Linked DNA regions of Coturnix japonica. The protein of the gene in region 2 purifies or fractionates together with the protein of the main gene of each other region. This does not show direct contact. Links are inferred from orthologs where the notes say so. Each region holds a gene or a part of one and is shown on either strand. Other genes may lie near its edges. The genes, in order: BIN3 and DNMBP.

Region 1 (11,252 bases), on a different chromosome or scaffold from region 2:
CTGGATCTATAGGATCCATCCTATGGGATCTACCCTATGGGATCCACCCTATGGATGGAGCCTGCAGGGGGGCTCTATGGCCACCATCCTACAGTGCATCCTATGGGATCCACCCTATGGGATCCACCCTATGGGATCCGCCCTATGGGATCCACCCTATGGGATCCGCCCTATGGGATCCATCCTATGGGATCCGCCCTATAGGATCCATCCTATGGGATCCACCCTATGGATGGAGCCTGCAGGTGGGTTCTATGGCCACCATCCCATGGTGCATCCTATGGGATTCACTCTATGGGATCTACCCTATGGGATCCCCCCTATGGGATCCACCCTATAGGATCCCCATTATGGGATTCACCTTATGGGATCCCCCCTATGGGATCCACCCAATGGGATCCATCCGATGGGATCCATCTGATGGGATGCCCCCTATGGGATCCACCCTATGGGACCCACCCTACAGGATCCCCATTATGGGATCCCCCCTATGGGATCTACCCTATGGGATCCTCCCTATGGGATCCACCCAATGGGATCCATCCTATGGGATCCCCCCTATGGGACCCACCCTATGGGATCCATCCTAAGGGATCCATCCTATGGGATCCACCCTACGGATGGAGCCTGCAGGTGGGCTCTATGGCCACCAACCACAGTGCATCCTATGGGATCCCCCCTATGGGATCTACCCTATGGGATCCACCCTATAGGATCCCCATTATGGGATCCCCCCTATGGGATCCACCCAATGGGATCCATCCTATGGGATCCCCCCTATGGGATCTACCCTATGGGATCCCCCCTATTGGGATCCCCCCTATGGGATCTACCCTATGGGATCCGTCCTATGGGATCTACCCTATGGATGGAGCCTGCAGGTGGGCTCTATGGCCACCAACCACAGTGCATCCTATGGGATCCCCCCTATTGGGATTCACCCTATGGGATCTACCCTATGGGATCCTACCTATGGGACCCACCCTATGGGATCCATCCTATGGGATCCCCCCCTATGGGATCCACCCTATAGGACCGCCATTATGGGATTCACCCTATGGGACCCACCCTATAGGATCCCCATTATGGGATTCACCCTATGGGATTCACCTTATGGGATCTACCCTATGGGACCCACCCTATGGGATCCATCCTATGGGATCCACCGTACGGGATCCATCCTATGGGATCCCCCCTATTGGGTCCCCCCTATGGGATCTACCCTATGGGATCAAGCAAACCCAACCCCATGGCACTGAGCACATCCAGCCCCATGGCAGAAGCTGCTTCTCCCACCCATCCCAAACTGAGCATGGAAACAAATCTATACCGATGTTTTACTCACCCATCAGAAGCCAATTACTCACGCCAGGCGCGTGGGTGAGCTGGATCCTGCACAGGCTGTTTTAGGCCCTGACTATGCTACAAAAATACCCATTTTAAGCACGCTCGTGAAACGTGGTTGTGGCTCAGCTCTGCTTTTTCAACGCCGCTTTTTTGCCACCTGCACAAAGAAATAATGATGGAGAAATCCCCATCGAGGAGCTGCCGCTCTGCAGCCCTTCGGTTCGTCCTGTTGTGAAGGATGGAGAACAACACTGAGATCAATGGGTCCAACCAGCAGCACCAACACCTGGAATCACATCCAGCCTCTGGTTTTGATGGGAGACGGGGAGAATGGGAGCGTTGGATAGACTATAGAGGGACTATGAGCCATTGGCTATTGACCATGGAGGGACCATGAGCCATAGACCAAGGCCCCTTGACCATTGAGAGACCATGAGCCATTGATCATGGAAAAACTATGGGCCACTGACCAAGGCCTGTTGGCCATGGAAGAGCCATGAGCCATTGACTATTGACCATGGAGGGACCATGAACCACAGACCAAGGCCCATTGACCATTGAGGGACCATGAGCCATTGACCAAGGCCTGTTGGCCAAGGAAGAACTATGAGCCATTGACTATTGACCATGGAGGGACCACAAGCCATTGACCAAGACCCATTGACCATTGAGGGACCATGAGCCATTGAGGGACCATGAGCCATTGACCAAGGTCCATTGACCATTGAGAGACAAAGAGCCATTGATCATGGAAGGACCAAAAGCCACCGATCAAGGACTGTTGGCCATGGAAGAGCCATGAACCATTGACTATTTACCATGGAGGGACCATGAACCACAGACCAAAGCCCATTGACCATGGAAGGACCATCAGCCATAGACCAAGGCCCATTGACCATGGAAGGACCATCAGCCATAGACCAAAGCCCATTGACCATGGAAGGACCATGAGCCATTGACCAAGGCCTGTTGGCCATGGAAGAACCATGAACCATTGACTATTGATCATGGAGGGACCACAAGCCATTGGCTATTGACCACAGGGGGACCACGATCCACAGACCAAAGCCCATTGACCATTGAGGGACCACGAGCCACTGACCAAGGCCCGTTGACCATTGAGAGACCATAAGCCATTGACCAAGGTACATTGACCATTGAGAGACCATGAGCCATAGACCAAGGCCCATTAGCCACTGAGGGACCATGAGCCATTGACCAATGCCATAGAGGCCATGCCATGGCCATGGCGGGACCGCAAGCCACTGACCAAGGCCCACTGACCATGGAAGAACCATAAGTCACTGACTATTATCCATAGGGGAACCACAAGCCACAGACCAAGACCCACTGACCAATGAGGGACCGTGAGCCATTGATCATGGAAGGACCAAAAGCCATTGACCAAGGCCTGTTGGCCAAGGAAGAACCATGAGCCATTGACTATTGACCATGGAGGGATCACAAGCCATAGACCAAGACCCATTGACCATTGAGGGACCATGAGCCATTGATTATGGAAGGACCACAAGACACTGACCAAGGCCTACTGACCACTGAGGGACCATGAGCTATTGACCAAGGTCCATTGACTATGGAAGGCCCATGAGCCATTGATCATATAGGAACCACGAGTCAATGACCATGGAATGACCACAACCCACTGCCCCACTGACCACGGTGGGGCCATAAACCATTGAACACTGACTATGGAGGACCCAAGGTTTGGGCTCCAGACCCCCAACCCGTTGTCCTCCCCAGGACAGTCGACTCAACTCCATCCCAAACTATATGGGATAACAAGGACGGGTTCCAATCAAAGACTGAGAACGAAGCCCTTTGTGCCCATACAGCCCCACTCAGAGCCCCCCACCCCACAGCCATAGGGCTGAGCCCCCTCAGGGTTCCCCCATCAATAACACAGTGAGCAGACACGTGCTTCGTGCTGCCCCACCATCACTTTGCTTTGCACGTTGCTTCTTTCTCCCAGCAAACAGCAGCTGTTGCAGCGGTGCCGATCCGAACCCATCCCCAGGAGCCAAAGGAGGAGGAATTAGGGACTCTATTGATGAGCTGATTTGGTCTTAATTGCTTCCAAGAGCCTTCAAGAGCCCTTCAGGCTGCCATGAATGAGGAGCTGGCTGGGATGGGAAGCTCAGCACGCTCAGCTCCATCCATGGGGAGCTGCTCCATCCATGGGGAGCTGCATGGGGCACCATATGGGGCTGACACGGCTCTGAGGGCACCAAGAGCAGCTGCCTGAGCCCCATAATCCAAAGGAACCACGGAGCTTTAGGAAACCTCAACCTGCCTCTAAAAGAGGCTGAACCCTAAGAGAGCACAGCCCATAAATGCAGCCCTGCTGAGCTGCACGGGGCTTTAATCCACCTGCAGGTTGTAATGCCTCCTGTATGTGCAATGGGAAGGATGCTGAGGATGCAACGTGTTGGGTTCTGCCCTATTTGAACAGGAGGGAAAGCAAAGGATGAAGAAGAACAACACCAGGACCAGACAGGAGCCACGAGTCAGAGGAGATCCCATATCACATCACAGCGAGGGTGAACCAAGGACGCACATCCAGCCCTATAACTGACCCCAAAGGCAATGGGACGCCCCTCAATGGGGTGATGCAGACACAGAGAGCAAACAGACCCTGCACCCATTGGGTAACAGAGCTCACCCCCTGCATGGAGCACCCACGCTGGGTGCATCCCCCTCTGACGTCCGCAGCACGACGGGGCATCGCATCCGCTGCGTCACCCAACCCCAAAGCTCAGCCCCACATCAATGGGGCCATTCATCTGAATGAAGCAGGCTGAGGGCCAAGCATTGAGGCTGCACTGAGGCTGATTGTGTCGCTCACACTCAGCTGCAGCCATGCAGTGTCTCCATGCTGACGCATGAGCTGCAACGCGCTCAATGACTGACGTGAGGTTTGGAGCTGGACCATGATCAGCCACAAACCTTCACACAGCAGCGTCTTATTGCTCTGCTGCAAAAGCAAAAGGGATCTTGCAGCATGGGGCATGTGCATTGCAAGTCGGCCAGCATGCGGCTCCATGCTGCATCACCAATGCAGCTCCATGCATCAGCATCACCGTGCAGCAGCATCAAGGCAGCTCCGTGCTGCAGCACCAAGGCAGCTCCATGCATCAGCATCACCATGCAGCAGCATCAAGGCAGTTCCATGCAGCAGCACCAATGCAGCTCCATGCTGCACCAATGCAGCTCCATGCCACAGCATCAAGGCAGCCCCATGCTGCAGCATCACCATGCATCAGCACCAAGGCGGCTCCATGCAGCATCAAGGCAGCTCCATGCATCAGCATCACCATGCATGAGTATCGATGCAGCTCCATGCAGCAGCATCAAGGCAGCTCCATGCATCAGCATCACCATGCGTCAGCATCAAAGCAGCTCCATGCATCAGCATCAATGCAGCTCCATGCATCAGCATCAAAGCAGCTCCATGCATCAGCACCAAGGCAGCTCAATGCATCAGCATCACCATGCATGAGTATCAATGCAGCTCCATGCAGCAGCATCAAGGTAGCTCCACGCTGCAGCACCAATGCAGCTCCATGCATCAGCACCAAGGCAGCTCTGTGCAGCAGCAACAAGGCAGCTCCAATGCAGCATCACCACGCGTCAGCACCAAGGCAGCTCCAATGCTGCTGCAGCACCAATGCAGCCCCAAGACGACTCCACGGTGCAGCACCAATGCAGCTCCTGGCCTTATTGCAATGGAGCAGCCCCATATGGTGCTGTGTGGCTGTAGGGTCTCACAGGAGGATGTGGGGCCTCCACACACCCCATACGGTACCGACCTGCCAACCCTATATAGATATACAGCCACCAACCCCATATGGTCAGTACCTGCCCACCCTACAAGGCCTGCCCCACACATTGTGGGGCCCAGAGCTGCCCACCCCACACACTGTGGGCCCTACAAAGCCTATAGTCCACCCCATATGGTCCATAAGTGCCTACTAAATATATAGACCCCATAAGGCCTATCTGCCCACCCCACACCCACCCCATACATCACTGTAAGGCCTATGTGCCCACCCCATACATCACACAGCTGCTGACTCCAAATACCTCCCCCAACCCACCCTATAGACCCCAAACCCACCCCACTGCAGTACAGCCCCCATAAGGGCCTCAGACCCTATAAGGGTCGGTGTTCAGACCTCATAAGGGTTATAGTGTTCAGACCCCATAAGGGTCAGTGTTCAGATCCCATTAGGGTTGGTGCTCAGACCCTATAAGGGTCAGTGCTCACACTGCATAAGGGTCAGTGTCCAGACCCCATAAGGGTTATAGTGCTCAGACCCCATAAGGGTCAGTGCTCAGACCCCATAGGGGTTAATGTCCAGACCCCACAAGAGTCAGTGTTCATACCCCAAAAGGGTTAATGTTCACACCCCATAAGGGTCAGTGCTCACACCCCATAAGGGTTATAGTGCTCAGACCCCATTAGGGTCAGTGTCCAGACCCCATAAGGGTTATAGTGCTCAGACCCCATAAGGGTCAGTGTCAGTGTCCGGACCCCACAGGGGTTAGTGCTCAGACCCCATAAGGGTTATAGTGTCCAGACCCCATAAGGGTTAATGTCCAGACCCCATTAGGGTCAGTGTCCAGACCCCATAAGGGTTATAGTGCTCAGATCCCATAAGGGTTATAGTGTCCAGACCCCATAAGGGTCAGTGTTCAGGAACCGCCCCTGGAGCCCCTCCGGGTTCATCCCGGCCCACAGCCCCGGTTCAGTCCCGGTTCGTCCCCGGTTCGGTCCCGGTTCGTTCCCGGTTCATCCCCGGTTCGGTCCCGGTTCGTTCCCGGTTCTGTCCCGGTTCTGTCCCGGTTCGTTCCCGGTTCGATCCCGGTTCGTTCCCGGTTCGGTCCCGGTTCGGTCCCGGTTCGGTCCCGGTTCGGTCCCGGTTCGTTCCCGGTTCGGTCCCGTTTCTCCCCCCCCCACTCACCAGCTCATGGTTCCCCCGGCCCAGCTCCGATCCCGGAAGTGCTGCCGCCAATCGCCGCCTCTTCCGGCCCCTTGGTGACGTCACGGAGCGAGGGGTGTTAACCCTTGGTGTGCCGGGATGGAGTGAGGCCGGGTGACGTCATGGATCCCATATCCCATATCCTACATCCCATATCCCATATCCCACATCCCATATCCCATATCCCATATCCCACATCCCAATCCCATTGATCCCAATCCCATTAATCCCAATCCCATTAATCCCATTTAATCCCAATCCCAATCCCATTAATCCCAATCCCATAGCGCTGTATCCGCCGCAGTCCGCCATATCCCACATCCCATATGCCCATATCGCGCACATCCAGTTATGCCAGTAGTCCCCATGCGCCATATCCACATCCCAGTATCCATATCCCAACATCCCAGCATCCGCATGTATCCCCAGTATCCCACATCCCATATCCCATCCGCATATGGCCCCACACCCATATCCATATTGCCCCACCCCCTCCCCCCCCCCCCACTGCCCCCCCCCCCCCCCCCGCCCCCCCCCCCCCCCCTCCCCCCCCCCCCCCCCCGCGCCCCCCCCCCGCCCCCGCCGCCCCCCCCTCATCCCACATCCCATATCCCATATCGCGACATCCGCAATATCCACATTCCCATATCCCACATCCCATATCCCACATCCCACATCCCACATCCCACATCCCATATCCCATATCCCACATCCCATATTCCATATCCCATATCCCATATCCCATATCCTATATCCCATATCCCACATCCCATATCCCATATCCCACATCCCACATCCCATATCCCATATCCCATATCCCACATCCCACATCCCATATCCCATATCCCATATCCCATATCCCACATCCCATATCCCATATCCCACATCCCATATCCCATATCCCACATCCCATATCCCACATCCCATATCCTATATCCCATACCCCATATCCCATATCCCACATCCCATATCCCATATTCTATATCCCATATCCTATATCCCATATCCCATATCCCATATCCCATATCCCATATCCCATATCCCATATCCCATATCCCATATCCCATATCCCATATCCCACATCCCATATCCTATATCCCATACCCCATATCCCACATCCCATATCCCATATTCTATATCCCATATCCTATATCCCATATCCCATATCCCATATCCCACATCCCACATCCCATATCCCACATCCCATATCCCACATCCCATATCCCATATCCCACATCCCACATCCCACATCCCATATTCCATATCCCATATCCTATATCTCATATCCCACATCCCATATCCCATATCCCATATCCCATATCTCATATCCCACATCCCATATCCCATATCCCACATCCCACATCCCACATCCCATATTCCATATCCCATATCCCATATCCCATATCCCATATCCCACATCCCACATCCCACATCCCATATCCCATATCCCATATCCCATATCCCACATGTTGGGTTCCCCATAGGGACGGAGTATTGGGGTTCCCCATAGGGATGGAGTTTTGGGTCCCCCATAGGGATGGAGTTTTGGGTTCCCCATAGGGACAGAGCGTTGGCTTTGGGGCTAAACAACATGAAATTGGGCGATGGCTGGTCGTGGGTTATTAGCGGTGCCAGGGCTGGGTTCATTAATTAGCAGCAGGTAAACAGAGCGTTAATTAACGTCGCAGCTGATGCTGCTAAATTGAGAAGGTGTTACACACACCGGTGAGGACACGGGATTAGGGCTGAGGGATCGAGGGAGGTGAGCGCCGGATTGTGCCCACGGGTATGGGGAGAGGGGACGTGGGATGGGGGGAGAGGGATATGGGGTGGGGGGAGGAAGATATGGGGCATAGAGGGTCGTTGGGTCATTGGGTTGGAAGGGAATTGATGGGGATATCGGGTCCAAATGCCTTGTGGGGGATGGGGATGGGGAAGGGGGATGGCATTGTGGATGGGGTGGTAATGGGGTGGTGGCCCTGCTGTAGGGTGATGGCCCTATGGGGAGTGGGATCCGACCCACAGCGGGATTGGTTGGGATGTCATCGTTATGACCCCAGTGGTGCCCCAACCCAATAGTGCCCACCTGGCGTCCCCATTGCCCATCATTGCTTGACCCCATAGCACCAGCAATGGCCCCAACCTCTGCTCCCCATAGGGAAGGACGGATCACCCCAAAATTGGTTGGGCTGTCACCATTATGACCCCAATGGTGCCCCAACCCAATGGTGTCCACCCGGCATCCCCATTGCTCACCATTGCTTGACCCCATAGCACCAGCCCCAGCCTCTGTTCCCCATAGGGAAGGATGGATCACCCCAACGTTGCTTGGGATGTCACCGTTATGACCCCAATGGTGCCCCAACACAACGGTGCCCCATTGGCGTCCACCCGGCGACCCCATTGCCCATCATTGCTTGACCCCAAAGCACCAGCACCAGCCCCAACCTCTGCCCCCCATTGGGAAGGATGGATCACCCCAAGGATGGGAAGCAGAGCGTTGTGGCCACGCGTGGGCTCAGCTGTGGGATTTACCCATCACCCCTCCTCGCCCCGACGCGGCTCCGAGCGCCGGCCCCGAAATCCCCGTTATTTATAACCTGAGCAGAAATCCTTCTAACCAACACCTGCGGCACCGCCGCATTAAGGGCTGAACCACCAGATCCTCTTTGTGCCATCGGACGCCACCTCTGAGCCTTAATAAATCCCCTGTGGGGCCAGAGGTGGAAAAACCCAACGCTGCAGGGCATGGAGGTTGTGGGGCCGAACTATGGGGCCGAGCCACCCAACCAGCCCCTCAATGCCAGCTTCATAGGGTCGCTCAACCCAACCAACCCCATAGGGTCTCTCAATCGAACCAACCCCATAGGGCTGCTCAACCCAACCAACACAATAGGGACGCTCAACCCAACCAACCCCATAGGGTCTCTCAACCCAACCAGCCCCATAGGGTCGCTCAACTGAACCAACCCCATAGGGTCTCTCAACCCAATCAACCTGATAGGGCTGCTCAACCCAACAGACCCCATAGGGTCACTCAACCCAACCAACCCAATAGGGCTGCTCAACCCAACCGACCCCATAGGGTCTCTCAACCCAACCAGCCCCATAGGGTCGCTCAACTGAACCAACCCCATAGGGTCTCTCAACCCAACCAACCCCATAGGGCTGCTCAACCCAACCAACCCCATAGGGCTGCTCAACCCAACCGACCCCATAGGGTCTCTCAACCCAACCAGCCCCATAGAGTCGCTCAACTGAACCGACCCCATAGGGTCTCTCAACCCAACCAACCTGATAGGGCTGCTCAACCCAACTGACCCCATAGGGCTGCTCAACTCAACCAACCCCATAGGGTCTCTCAACCCAACCGACCCCATAGGGCTGCTCAACCCAACCAACCCCATAGGGTCTCTCAACCCAATCAACCCCATAGGGCTGCTCAACCCAACCAACCCCATAGGGCTGCTCAACCCAACCGACCCCATAGGGTCGCTCAACTGAACCAACCCCATAGGGTCTCTCAACCCAACTAACCCCATAGGGTCTCTCAACCCAACCGACCCCATCACAATGGGGACCCTTCCAACCAAACCACACACCAAAGAAGGGAAGCCCCCTCCCCAAATCCCCATCCCTGCCCTCGAGTGGTGCTCAAAGAAGGGCCGGGAGGCAGCCAAACACAATGATATATTTACGGCATCGGCGGATGGTTACAGCGGGGATGAGCCATGAAATGGGGGTGAAAATCGTCACCTTCTCACGATACCGGGTTTCATTATCATCATCATTATTAATATTATTAATTATTATTATTCATTATTTCGGGGATGTGGGGGTTGGGGTGAAAGAGGTTGTTTTTTACAATTTTTTTTCTTTTTTTTTTTTCCTTTTTTAATGTTTTTTTTTCTGTTTTAACCTTAGTATAAGGTACTATAAAGAAATAAAAACATCCACAAAATATATTACATCTGGAGCGGCCCTTTTTTGTTTCTTTTTGGTTATTTTTTTTGCATGTTTTTAGGTTTTTTTTTGCCTTTTTTTTTCTTTTTTTTCTCTAAGTACTCAACTTTGATACAAAAGTCTCTCAAAAAATATCATTCCCCCCTTTATTTTTTTTTGCCTTTTTTTTTGCCTTTTTCGCGCGCGTTGTGTTGTGTGTGTTGCGTTGTGTGTCGTGTCGTGCTGCGTTGTGTGTTGTGCGTTGTGTTGTGTTGCTGTGCTGCATTGTGTGTTGTGCATTCTGTTGTGTTGTGTTGTGTTGCTGTGCTGCATTGTGCATTCTGTTGTGTTGTGTGTTGTGTTGCGTTGTGTCGTTGTGTTTTGTGTTGTGTTGTGTTGCTGTGCTGTGTGTTGTGCGTTGTGTTGCGTTGTGTTCTGTGTTGTGCATTGTGTTCTGTTGTGTGTTGTGTTGCTGTGTTGTGTGTGTTGTGCGTTGTGTTGTGTTGCTGTGCTGCATTGTGTGTGTTGTGCATTCTGTTGTGTTGTGTTGCATTGTGTGTCATGTGTTGTGTTGTGTTGCTGTGCTGTGTGTGTTGTGCATTCTGTGTTGTGTTGTGTGTTGTGTTGCGTTGTATGTTGTGTGTGTTGCATTGTGTTGTGTGTTGTGTGTTGTGCATTCTGTGTTGTGTGTTGTGTTGCGTTGTATGTTGTGTGTGTTGCATTGTGTCGTGTGTTGTGCGTTGTGTTGTGTTGTGTGTTGTGTTGCTGTGTTGTGTGTGTTGTGCATTGTGTTGTGTTGTGCATCGTGTTGTGTTGTGTGTCGTGTTGTGTGTGTTGCGTTGTTTCGCGTTGTGCTGTTGTGTTGCATTGTGTTGTGTTGCTGCGTTGCGTTGTGTTGCTGTGCTGTGTGTGTTTTGCATTGTGTTGTGTTGTGTTTTGTGTTGCATTGTGTTGTGTTGCTGT
Region 2 (10,507 bases):
CTGGGGACAACATCTAGAAAAGAAGACACTTGCAATGAGATTCTCCAGGGACTGTGTTTAGAGTTGGTCGGACATAATATTTTCAAAGTAAATGGAAAAACCACTGTGGTTCTGTAGAGAACCAAACATCGATTCTGTATGATCACTAATAAGGATGCTGCATACCCATCACTAACAAAGCTTAGGTATTTTGAACAAGATAGAATTACTCAAACCAACAGGTTTAACACAGGGAAAAAAAAATATCATCAACTAAAAAGCTCCAATTTAGCAGATAAAGGTTGGGAATTGAAAGCTGAAAAGCAACACATCAGCATGCAAAACATTCTGGAGTGAGGATGAGTATCCAGCACCACCAAACAGGTGGGGTCTCTGCTTAGAGCACTGGGCAGACACATCCAAATCTTATCTCAGAGATGCTTTAACCAAAGAACTGTCACTATGCTGCAGAGTTCCCCAGGCCCATCTGGGAGTTATCTGCTTGTTTCCTCAGATGCAGCTCCTGCAGGCTGCCCCTGCCCCATTCTGAGCCTCCCCAAGCTCTGCCCCTAGCCCCTCCTAGCTTCCCAGATGCCCTTTGATCATCCTGGCACCACAAAACCACTCCCTTGCCCTGGAGATGAGACTGAGCAAAGTCCCACCTACCAACACAGTGCAGAAATGCAGCCTCTGGAGTCTGCTGAATCAAATACCTCGAGAGAACAAATTTCACTGTAAGCTGATAGCCAGCCACGGCCTGCAGCCCTGCTGCCTGGGTGTTTGCTGCACTGCTGTGCTGTACTCTGCACTCCAGCCTCCTCCAAGGGCAGCACATGCATGGGTACCTGAGACAAATGCTGGCAGAAAGGGTACAACTGCAAACAGGTCCTCGGACACACATCTGCCCAACACAAAGGTCTCCTTCACTCATCCTACCCAGACCCCACCACTGTGCAACGAGAGACCTAAATGCACAAAGTTGTGTGCATCCCCAGGATTTCCTCAGGAACCCTGCTGCCTCAGGACGAGGGCAGGGTTAAGGAATGCCCAAGGCCACCGCACCGACACCTCCCAAGCATTTCTCTGCATACCGTGTTTCTCCTTCCTGGTCTGTACAAATTCTGAGCGCCGCAAGGTGCTGGGAGCCGTCCTCCTGTACAAACTGTTTCTCTGCAGTGAAGAGCCTGTCCTGCTCTCTTCCTTGGCCTCCTGCTCCCAGATGTGACTCCAGTCTGGCCGGCCCGTGCGGACCCTTGAGTGCTGTGCTCGTTCTGGTTCCCCACAGCCATTGCAGCCCATGTCCTGCATCCCTGACTGTCTGCAGGACGTGTTTGACCCCAGGCTGCTGGTGTCTCCTGAGGACCAGGATGTCAACAAGTGAGCTCCATGACCTCCAGACGGATCACTGCAGTCCATGGCAACACCTTTCAGCTGCCTGTGCTGTTCAGAATCTCCATGATCCTCCAGATCCCTGATGTTTACATACTGCCTTTCCTGCTCTCTAAATTCCTCACAGCCTCCAGCCTCTCTATGCCACTTTTTTCTTTCCCTGCCTACTTGATAACCTCCGTCTTCTCTATACTGCCTTTCCCCTTCCCTATATCCCCTGTCCTGCCTACACTGCCTTTCCCTTTCCCCACAGTATCTCCCATCCCTACTATAGTCCCTAGGATCTCCATCCTTATGACACCTTCTGCCTTCCCTGTACTCTCCAGGGCCTCTGTCCTCTCTGTACCGCCTTCCCCCCTCCCTACCCTCCCCAGGCCCTCTGTCTCCTCTGTACTGCCCTTCTCCCTCCTTGGGATTACAGCCTCTGTATTGAACACCCTCCCTCTCATTCACTCCACAATTTCTGTCCTTTGTAAATGGGATTTTGCCTTTCCAAACATTGTCTGCTCTCCTATAGTCCGTGTACTGGTTATCCGCCTTCCAAAAGCCTTCACAGTCTCCGTTCCCGCTCCATCCATCCACAGAGATGCCCTCCCCTCTCCAGTCACTGTCCCAGCCTCTGTCTGCTCCCCTCTTCACCCTGGGTCTCTCGTTCCAGCGACTCTCACTGTGCAGGCCCATGACGTCCCCTCTCCTCGCAGCACAATCTTCATACTCCCAGCTGAGGAGCCGGGGCTCCTGCCTTGGTTTCTCTGTGCCATGTTCTGTCCCAGGATAAGAGCACATCGTCCTGCTGGGTTGCAGCTCCCTTTGCTCCCGCTCCTTGAGCCCACACCCGGGCTGACACCTCTTCTCTCTCTGCTCTGACGCTTCCTTCCCAGGTACAACGCAACGCAATTCAACGCAGGCAGCACTTCCTGAAACCAGCCAGCAAAGGTAGGAAGAGGCGCGTGCCCAATGGCCTCCAGCCCCAGCCTCCTCCACCTGCTGCCCAAGCTAATCAGTAACCAGTTAGAAGCAGACTCCCACCGGCCAAACCGGCTGCACTGCTTTGGGAGAGCCCGCAGCCTCCCCATGGGCCACTAGGAGGCAGGGAAAAGGAGAGCAGTGGGGCACGAGGAGGCCATGGCTTAAGACCAACATCCCCAGGGAAGGAAAAGGTGCATGTGAGACTGGGGAACCACAGAGCAGATAGCACGTACCAGATCTCCTTCCCTTGCCTCCACACTCCTGCCAGTTCCAGCAGGCAGCATGCAGCCTGAACACCGTAGCGTAGCAGAGGCTGGGCTCTGCTCCATGCATCCTGAGAGAAACCGAACCCCCAGGCTTCGCTTCTAACCTGGTGCAGAGCCATCCTTCTTCCAGCCCTCACCCGCAGCCCCTGGGAAGAGCAGGAGGCAAGCAGCACTGGGGCAGAGCCTCCTGCTCCAAGTGCAAGAGGATGAAAACAAATCCTGCGCTCATCTGGCCTTTAGCACAACCTCCAGTGTACATGCAAGACATGCCCAAGAAGGAACCTGCAGATTTTAAACATGTTTTAGAAAAACACACACTTTCTGCTTCTTCTTTGATACGCAGAGGAGTTGGGTTCCTCCTAATGTTACTCCAGCCCTACTCTGTGCCCTTAGGTAGGGCAAGTATTTACTATAGGATCAGAAAAGCTAATTCCAAACCCTCGGGTCTCTTGAGGGGGTGAAAAATCCTCTGGGACTACAAATCAATGGGCAAGATGTCCCTGCCAGAACATTAGTTCCTGCCTAAAACTTCCAGTTCAGATAACTAACAGAGCATGGGTTCAGCGTGACCTCCCTCTGTCAGGAAGCAATGGGACAGAGGAAACATTTCCCAGAATGATCCACCCCACCAGAAAATTTCCCAGAAATTTTCCCTAGATTTGCCTTTTCCTAGCTTCAAACCTTGTATCTTCTAAGCATCCCTCTTGCACTCCACTGATGCGGAGGCTGCAGGTCACCCTGTGCACTGATATCACCCTTCATTCCCACGTGCTCTGCATCAGAGCTCCTGGACTCCACGGTGTTGATTAAGTGGTGGGAGGCTGGAGGCAATGAAGTCAGAATGAGTAATTCTGAGGCAGGAGCTGGCATTTCACTCCACCTCCCGCATGCAGTGCCCACATTTCCTGCACATCGTGGGTTTTAGGAACAGAAGCACACTGTAAGAGCTCCTTGGATAAGTGGGGAAAAGGGACTGTGGGAGATGTATGTGATCCTGCTTCCACTTTGTCTATTGTATTACCAAGTATAACATAGTTAACAGCACTGATCTCAATATCATATGGGTCTTCAGAGCCCAGATGTGCCCATATAAACCAGACAACTCTCTTCTCCTAGAATAAAGCCAAATCATGACAATTTGCAGCACCACAGCATTAACAAAAATGACCCAAATCAAGAATTAAAGACTGGCTCAAGTGGTGCCTGTACCTGGAGGGGACAGTTGTCCCAAAGAACCTCTGTTCCATGCTGCTGTACTCACCTCTCAGCTCCTGCAGCTCTGCACTGAGGCTCTCAATGTTGGAGTCACAGAAATCAAGGTTCTCCAGGGTCTCTGCTCTCACCAGCTCATCCTGCTGCTCCTCCAGCAGCAAGGTGAGCTCAGTGCGGGTCTTCCTGTAAGCCTCCAGGTCTCGCTCCAGCTCTCCAATCCTCATCAGCAAGATGGAGCAGGGAGAAGCTGATCCTGTCTGTGTTGCATCCTCACGGCTTTCCTCTGCATGCTGCTCTGCTACATTGGGTTGCAGCTGTGGAGGGACCACGCTCCTTCTCTGAGTGCTTGACGGAGGCCGGGGAGCGGGCCGGGAGGGCTTCACCGAGAATGACAGAGACCGGCCTTTGGGCATGGGAGTTGTTGCAAGGGTGCTGGGCCGAGGAGGGGGTGGTCTTAGGGCCTTCCTCCTTTCTGGCAGCTTGGCAAGGGGGGCACACTTGGGAGACCCACGAACAATGTCATTCTCAGAGCTATAGTCCAAGATAGAGAAGTGACGAGAGACCTTGTCCTGCTCAGCACTGGTACTCGACAGACTCTTCTCAAACTGCACCAGTTGCTCTGTCAGTTTTGAGTCAAGGTCTGTGCCACTGTGCCCCTGTGCTGCCAGTGAGGAGCACTCGCTCCAGCTCCCAGCCCGTGTATCCAGACCCATGTGGACACCTCCCCAGCCAGAAGAACATGGTTTGGACTTCTGCTGGTCATCCACCCAACCATCCAGGTCCTGGATGCTGCTCTGCTTCTCCTGGGGCTCTGATGCTGCCCAGCTGCTAGGAGGAGGAATGGCCTGGCTTCCACAAATGTCTGGTGGGGAGCAGGGAGTCTGTGAGGGCATGGTGGGTCTGCTGCCATCACGCTCAGGCAGGGCTGGAGGTTCCAATACACCTGCTTGGCCTGGCTCACTGCTATGCTGCGGAGGCAGCTGAGTAGAGTGGAGAAGGCCATTGACTGTCTTTGTGCATTCAAAAGGGAGGGAATCTGCTGTGGTTCCAGGATGTAATTCCTGGAGCCCTGCATCAGGAAAGGCCTGACACTGCCTCAAGTCAGTGCTCAAAGGAGCCTCAGATCTCCCTGCCATGTGAGACACAACAGTGTCAGGCTCAGGGTGTGCAACCAAGCCATCCTCCTTGTCCCAGCTATCTTTTTCCAGCAAAGGGAGAACTCTGGAACAGGTGCTCTCTAAGTCTTGATGGATAATCACCTCACAGCTGCCTCCAGCCAGGGGATCACCAGCACCCACCTTTTCCCTGTAAAGGTCAGAAGCCTCCAGTCTCACAAATCTGTGTGGGAAGATACCACGTTTCCCCCTCAGTTCCCCCTCTAGCCAGCCATCCTCCAGAATGCCCACAATCCGAATCCTGTCACCCACATCAAAATCCAGTTCCTCAGACTCCAAAGCTTGGAACTGGTACAAGGCAACACCATAGGTGCTCCCTGGCTCCTGCCCTCCATTCTCTCTGCCATCTTCCTCCTGCTTGGTAGGCACTGTCCCATTGGTGTCACAACGCCCTGCAGGCTCTTGATCCACTGAAGTTCCTGCTGCTCTCAGAGGAGTAAGCAGCTCCACAAAACCTTCTGGGAAAATGCCCCTGCGGCCTTGGAGCTCCCCCTCAAACCAACCAGGCTCTGGTATGCCAACGATGTTGATCACATCCCCTTCTCTGAAGTCCAACTCCTCCTCCAGCTGAGCAGAAAGACCCATCAAGGCCCTGGCTTGGCCCAGTGAGTAGGCAGGTACCTCCAGGAGAGAGCTGTGGGAGAACTGACAGCTCCGAACTGTAAGGTGCAACTCCCTCACACATGATGAAGGGAAAAAGCCCTTGGAACCACAGCTGCTTCTGCCTTGGAGCCAGCTGGAGGCCAGAGGACCACTCAGGATCACCAAGTCTCCTGTAGGGAATGAGACATACCAGTTCAAAACTGCCCTCCTGATTGCTTCTCACCTCTTGTTCCTGCCTTCCTGTGGCCTTACTGGCTGTGGGTAAGGTCTGGCACTCCACATGAAGTGCAGTTTTCTGGGGGTGCACAAGAGCACAGACTGGAGGTGAGGCATGAAGCATCAGCAGTCTCATGCACACACATAACTAAGATTCACAGTTTGAAATGAGTTTCTAACAGTCAAGTAGCTTTACAGATTGATTCCCTCCCACCCCCTCTCAAACACATGTCTAGGATTTAGGGATGGGAGTGCAATTAAATGGCAGCTGTAAGTCTACTGTAATCACACAACTCTAGCATTTGGAGTTTCAAGGGTAAGAAATAAGAAATAAGAAATTGGTATTGAGAGGTGGCAGGAACACAAAGGTTCACATGCTGTGGGGAATCGAAAAATTTTTCTCTGCCGCTCTAGGCAGGATGCTGCAACTAGGCTCACCCCATGCTTCTAGAAGAAGGGAAGGTGTCTATGAGATGCAAAGCAAAGGAAGAGGACAGGGATTACCTCTCTGCAATGACAAGCTCCCTGGCTCTTGAGATGTGAAGTCACTGGTACAAACAAACAGCTTCTCTCCCTGCTTCAGAAGGGGAATATCCACCAGTTCCACAAAGCTGCTAGGAAACTGCCCTGAAATGAGAAGCAGCTGTCAGCAATGAGTCCTTCCTGTAGCCCACCACAACTCCCTCCACCCTCCTTCCAGACCCTGGAATCTACTTCTCTTGCTAAAGGAAAATGCTGCATCCATAGCTACCCAGGGAACATCGGCAGCGTGGAGGAAGAGGAAATTTCTGCGGATTTAAATACTAACAGAACAAAAATCATTATGTCTTTGGCTCGCTCCAGGCAACCAATACTATCAACACTGAGTTCCTGGGAACAGACATACCAGGTTTTCTCCTCTTCCTCTGCTCAATTCACCAATCACTGCCATGACAAGGACTGGGATCCAGTAGTGCTAGACCACAAGACCAGTGTCTTCTGACAGGGCATATCTACCTTGTGCTTCCTGCTCTGTAAGGCTTGGCCCCAGCACAGCCTCAGCACTGAAGTCATGATACCAAACTTGGGAAGGCCAGGTCTGTGATCCAGAGGCACTGCCACAGCTGCAGCACTGCTAAGGCTGCAGGGACCTTCCCCATTTTACCACCTCATGCAGGTATTTCACCATGGCACCCACTGCTGGATGCCCAGCTATTCTGAGCAGGCAAAGCTACGCACGCTTGTTGGCCATTTTAAGACCTTACCCAGCTACTGATGTCAGTCCCAGGATCACTGGATATAGCAGAGCCCACTGCAAAGCCCACTACAAATGTCACTGCAATCTTTTACAATCTGTTGCAGAGAGAAATGATGGAATATGGGCCAGCAGCACTTCCAGCATTCACTCGTGATGTCCACTCAATATGATGTTTACATTCTCTACAAAAACTTGGAGACATCATATTGAAGGCATTCAGTACTTTCAACTGGGACTAGGCAGTTTCCCACCTGCTGTCATTAACCTGAGGTGGAACCAACAGCCCACAGGCTTCCAGTTTCAGTGGCTTCCTTTACAGTTTTAACCAACTCCTCTTTTTTTCCATGCCAGTTTCCTGCTCTGTACATGGAAACAACCTAAGAGTGTTAGGAAGGAAATAATGGAGCTACACTAATTATTCCCCATAGAGCATTAAGTATTATTATTGGTAGGCTGCAGCACTGCCACAGCTTCTACTAAAAAGTGCTTTTTCAATCCCCTGAAACTTTAGCTTAGAAAACTGGGCAGAAAACTACAACAGCTGTTCCAAGGAAAAGCGGGAATGCAAAAGGAGTTTGAGTTAAAGGTCACTAAAAACACGCTGTTTGACTTCAGTGTGTTTCTTTATCTTTGAGCTACGATATACATCTGTTTGTTGTTCCTTCATAACTTCATCTTCTTGAGAATGAGTGCATCAGTTACACCGGGAGAAATAACAGTGGTGAAGTAGCTGCTGGTGATTTCTGCATAAGTAATTTGTACCCCGTAACTTCAGCAGCAGCAGGATTAGGCATGCACTCATTTAATGCCATTTATCAGCTAAATGGAGCACAGGAGAAAATCCCTCCTCTCCACCTTTGCTCCTGTCCATCTTTGTTTTACACAGAGACAGGCGCCTGACAGCCCACAGCTGGCAGCAGAGCCCAGACTGCTGCTGCAAGGCAGCCCCATCTCCACAGCCAGGCCTGGAAGTGCAGCACTCCTCTCATGCTGAGCAAGGAGTGGGGCTTATGCTTTGAAGTGGCCTGGTTTTCATCTTGCTGAGAGCTCACGTGTCTTCTCAACATCAGTATGAAGATGAGAAAGGGCTGCATAAAACAGGATGAGACTTTTAGTGTTTCACTAAGAGCATTTTGCTGCTTCAAAAGTTTCTCACACTTACCCCAAGTTTAACAGACTTGCACACTACTTAAGGCGCCCAGGTATTGATGGCAGCTTGCTTGGGAAAGTGTTTTAAAGCAGAAAGGAGGAAGCAGGACTGAGTCAGAGGGTTCCAAGGGGGACACGGAATCTCCCACTGACTTGACCTGACAAGGTCACTTAGCATTTCCATTCTCAGTGCATCTGTTTCCTCTCCCCTTCCAGTGCCACAGCAGGTCAGCACATAAACTAGCCAGGAAATGGGCTGTCCCACCATAGAGGATGCAGCTAGCACCTAGTGTTATGAAGCTCCCGCCTTGAGGAGTGACACAACACTGACCTCTCAAAAAACAACTGAGCTGTCTGAACTTTAGAGGTGCAGCTTGCAGGAGATTGGTGGCAGGGAACCCGCATCCTCAGTCCCAACTGAAGTCCAGCAAAAGATTTAGTAAAATGCATGTTCCACTGGCAGAGTGAAGGCCAGGGAAGATGCCCTGAGCACCTACAAATCTAGGTATGGACACCTCCAGCTCTTACCTGTGACGCCTTCCTTTTTGCCAAGCAGCCAGAACTCATCCACCACATCCAGCACCTCGATGACATCTCCCACAAAGAGGGGCAGCTCCTCAGAAACGCTGGGACAGAAATCAAAGACTGCTCGTACCACAGAGCCAGCTTCCATTGCGTGGGGTCTGCAGGCAGATCGGGACCTATGGCTGAGACACAGTGGGAAGTTCATTAGCAGCAAGAAACACCTGAAATTACCACATTTCAGAAAGGGAAGACCTTCTCAAGCATAAGAGACAGGGATACTATGAGGAAGTCTTGTTCCGAGCTCACAAAACCCCTCCTTGTGCCTCAGACCTTGCTGCCACAGGAGTGGTGTTTTCCAGTAGTCCAACCTGACTTGTGCAGCCTTTGTGGCTACCTCCGCTGGGACTTGTTTGTGCTGTACCAGGGAGAGAAACCGCAAGAAAATCTGGGACTGAATTCTCATCAGGAAGGAAGTGCGGAGAGGAGGAAGCTCCAAGCTTCCCTGACGCCAGGGCAGACCCGGAGCCTGCTGGGGCCTCTGTGAGCAGGCAGCAGACATCACTGCTTGCCCAGTCCCTTCTGGAAGGCTGGGCAAATGCAACCCCTTCCCACGTATTCTGCTTGCCTGAGCTCCTGTCCCTGGAGCCGCAGCCAATGAAGAATGCAAGGCCTGCTGTGAAGCCCTGAACAAGGCTGAAATTCTCTCCTCACAGAAGAACTGAGGGACATGTCCTACACCCAGAAAGTCTGCCCCTTCCTTTAAAGCAGCTGCTGAGCCAGGACCCTGCTGCTGTCCTCCTGCACCAGGGTGACAACACAGCAAGGCACACCATGAACAGACAGCCCTGTATGGTCCACCTGAGCCCTGGTGAGTCAGGAACACTTGCAAACAGCAGAAACACAGCCTTGCTATGGAGGTATGGCAAACTTCCACCAGGAGTGCCAGCAAGGGATCCAGCCAGGGAAATGCTTTCTGCTGACAGGACTGCCGTGTTTATCCAGTCCGACTCACCTCTTGGGAACAAAGAGGGTCTGTGCTCAGCAGAACCACATCCCTCCTACCCCAGCCATGCCCACATTCTACCACCACCACACCCCCACTCCCAGCCCAGCATCCCTATGCTGCTCTACTATGAGCATGTGAGATCCTTGGGGCGCAGACTGCCCTGCCATCGCCAGCATTGTGCTGGCTGAACAAAGAGCCCAATATCCAGCCCCGACAGTGCTATGTCACCAAAAAGAGATGAATGGACCGGAGTGAATCGGGAGCACAAAGAGCTGCAGTTCAGGATAGCAGGAACCTACTGAGGCAGAAAAAGCAACAGTATTACAAACATGCCCATGTGGAGTAGTAAAAAAGATGGAAGGGTCACTAGTGAGTCTGCAAATGCTAAAGACAAGAAAGCAGCCCTGCAACGAGTTGTGGTGGCTATGGCACGAGGCTGAGCTCAGGGTCCTAGAAATATCTGCCATGAGCTCTAGGGACTGTTTCAAATGAGAAAGGAGTGAGAGGGGCAGTTATTCTTCCATGTACCCATTAACTGCAGTTACAACAGAGACCAACTGAAGGACTACCACTAATCCACTTTCACACTGCAGCAGTCACACGCTGACTTTGGAAAGAAGGGAGGGGACGGGATGCTTGCTAAGGGCCAGAGACAGGGAGACTGCTGGGGATTTCTGACAAGCCCATGAAGATCACTGATGGCAGTGGCCACTCCCACCCTCATAACAAATATAAGGGATACTTTTTGCACATATGTCTTTAGAATCACCCCGTGTACAGC

The links.
Region 1: the proteins of DNMBP (region 2) and BIN3 purify together in Homo sapiens (co-immunoprecipitation; 5 studies listed by BioGRID and IntAct, counting the BioPlex papers as one, with this or other methods). This does not show direct contact. The link is inferred for Coturnix japonica from reciprocal best matches to the Homo sapiens genes DNMBP and BIN3.

Annotation. Positions count from the first base shown.
Region 1 is NC_029537.1:2,516,341-2,527,592, reverse strand, and holds the start of BIN3 (bridging integrator 3), read right to left. Parts: upstream 6,428-11,252; 5' UTR 6,338-6,427; coding exon 6,330-6,337; intron 1-6,329. UniProt on the Homo sapiens protein: Involved in cytokinesis and septation where it has a role in the localization of F-actin.
Region 2 is NC_029521.1:19,218,628-19,229,134, reverse strand, and holds the start of DNMBP (dynamin-binding protein), read right to left. Parts: upstream 9,031-10,507; 5' UTR 8,926-9,030; coding exon 8,724-8,925; intron 6,437-8,723; coding exon 6,314-6,436; intron 5,764-6,313; coding exon 3,865-5,763; intron 2,375-3,864; exon of another isoform or gene 2,155-2,374; coding exon of another isoform or gene 1,071-2,154; intron 1-1,070. UniProt on the Homo sapiens protein: Plays a critical role as a guanine nucleotide exchange factor (GEF) for CDC42 in several intracellular processes associated with the actin and microtubule cytoskeleton.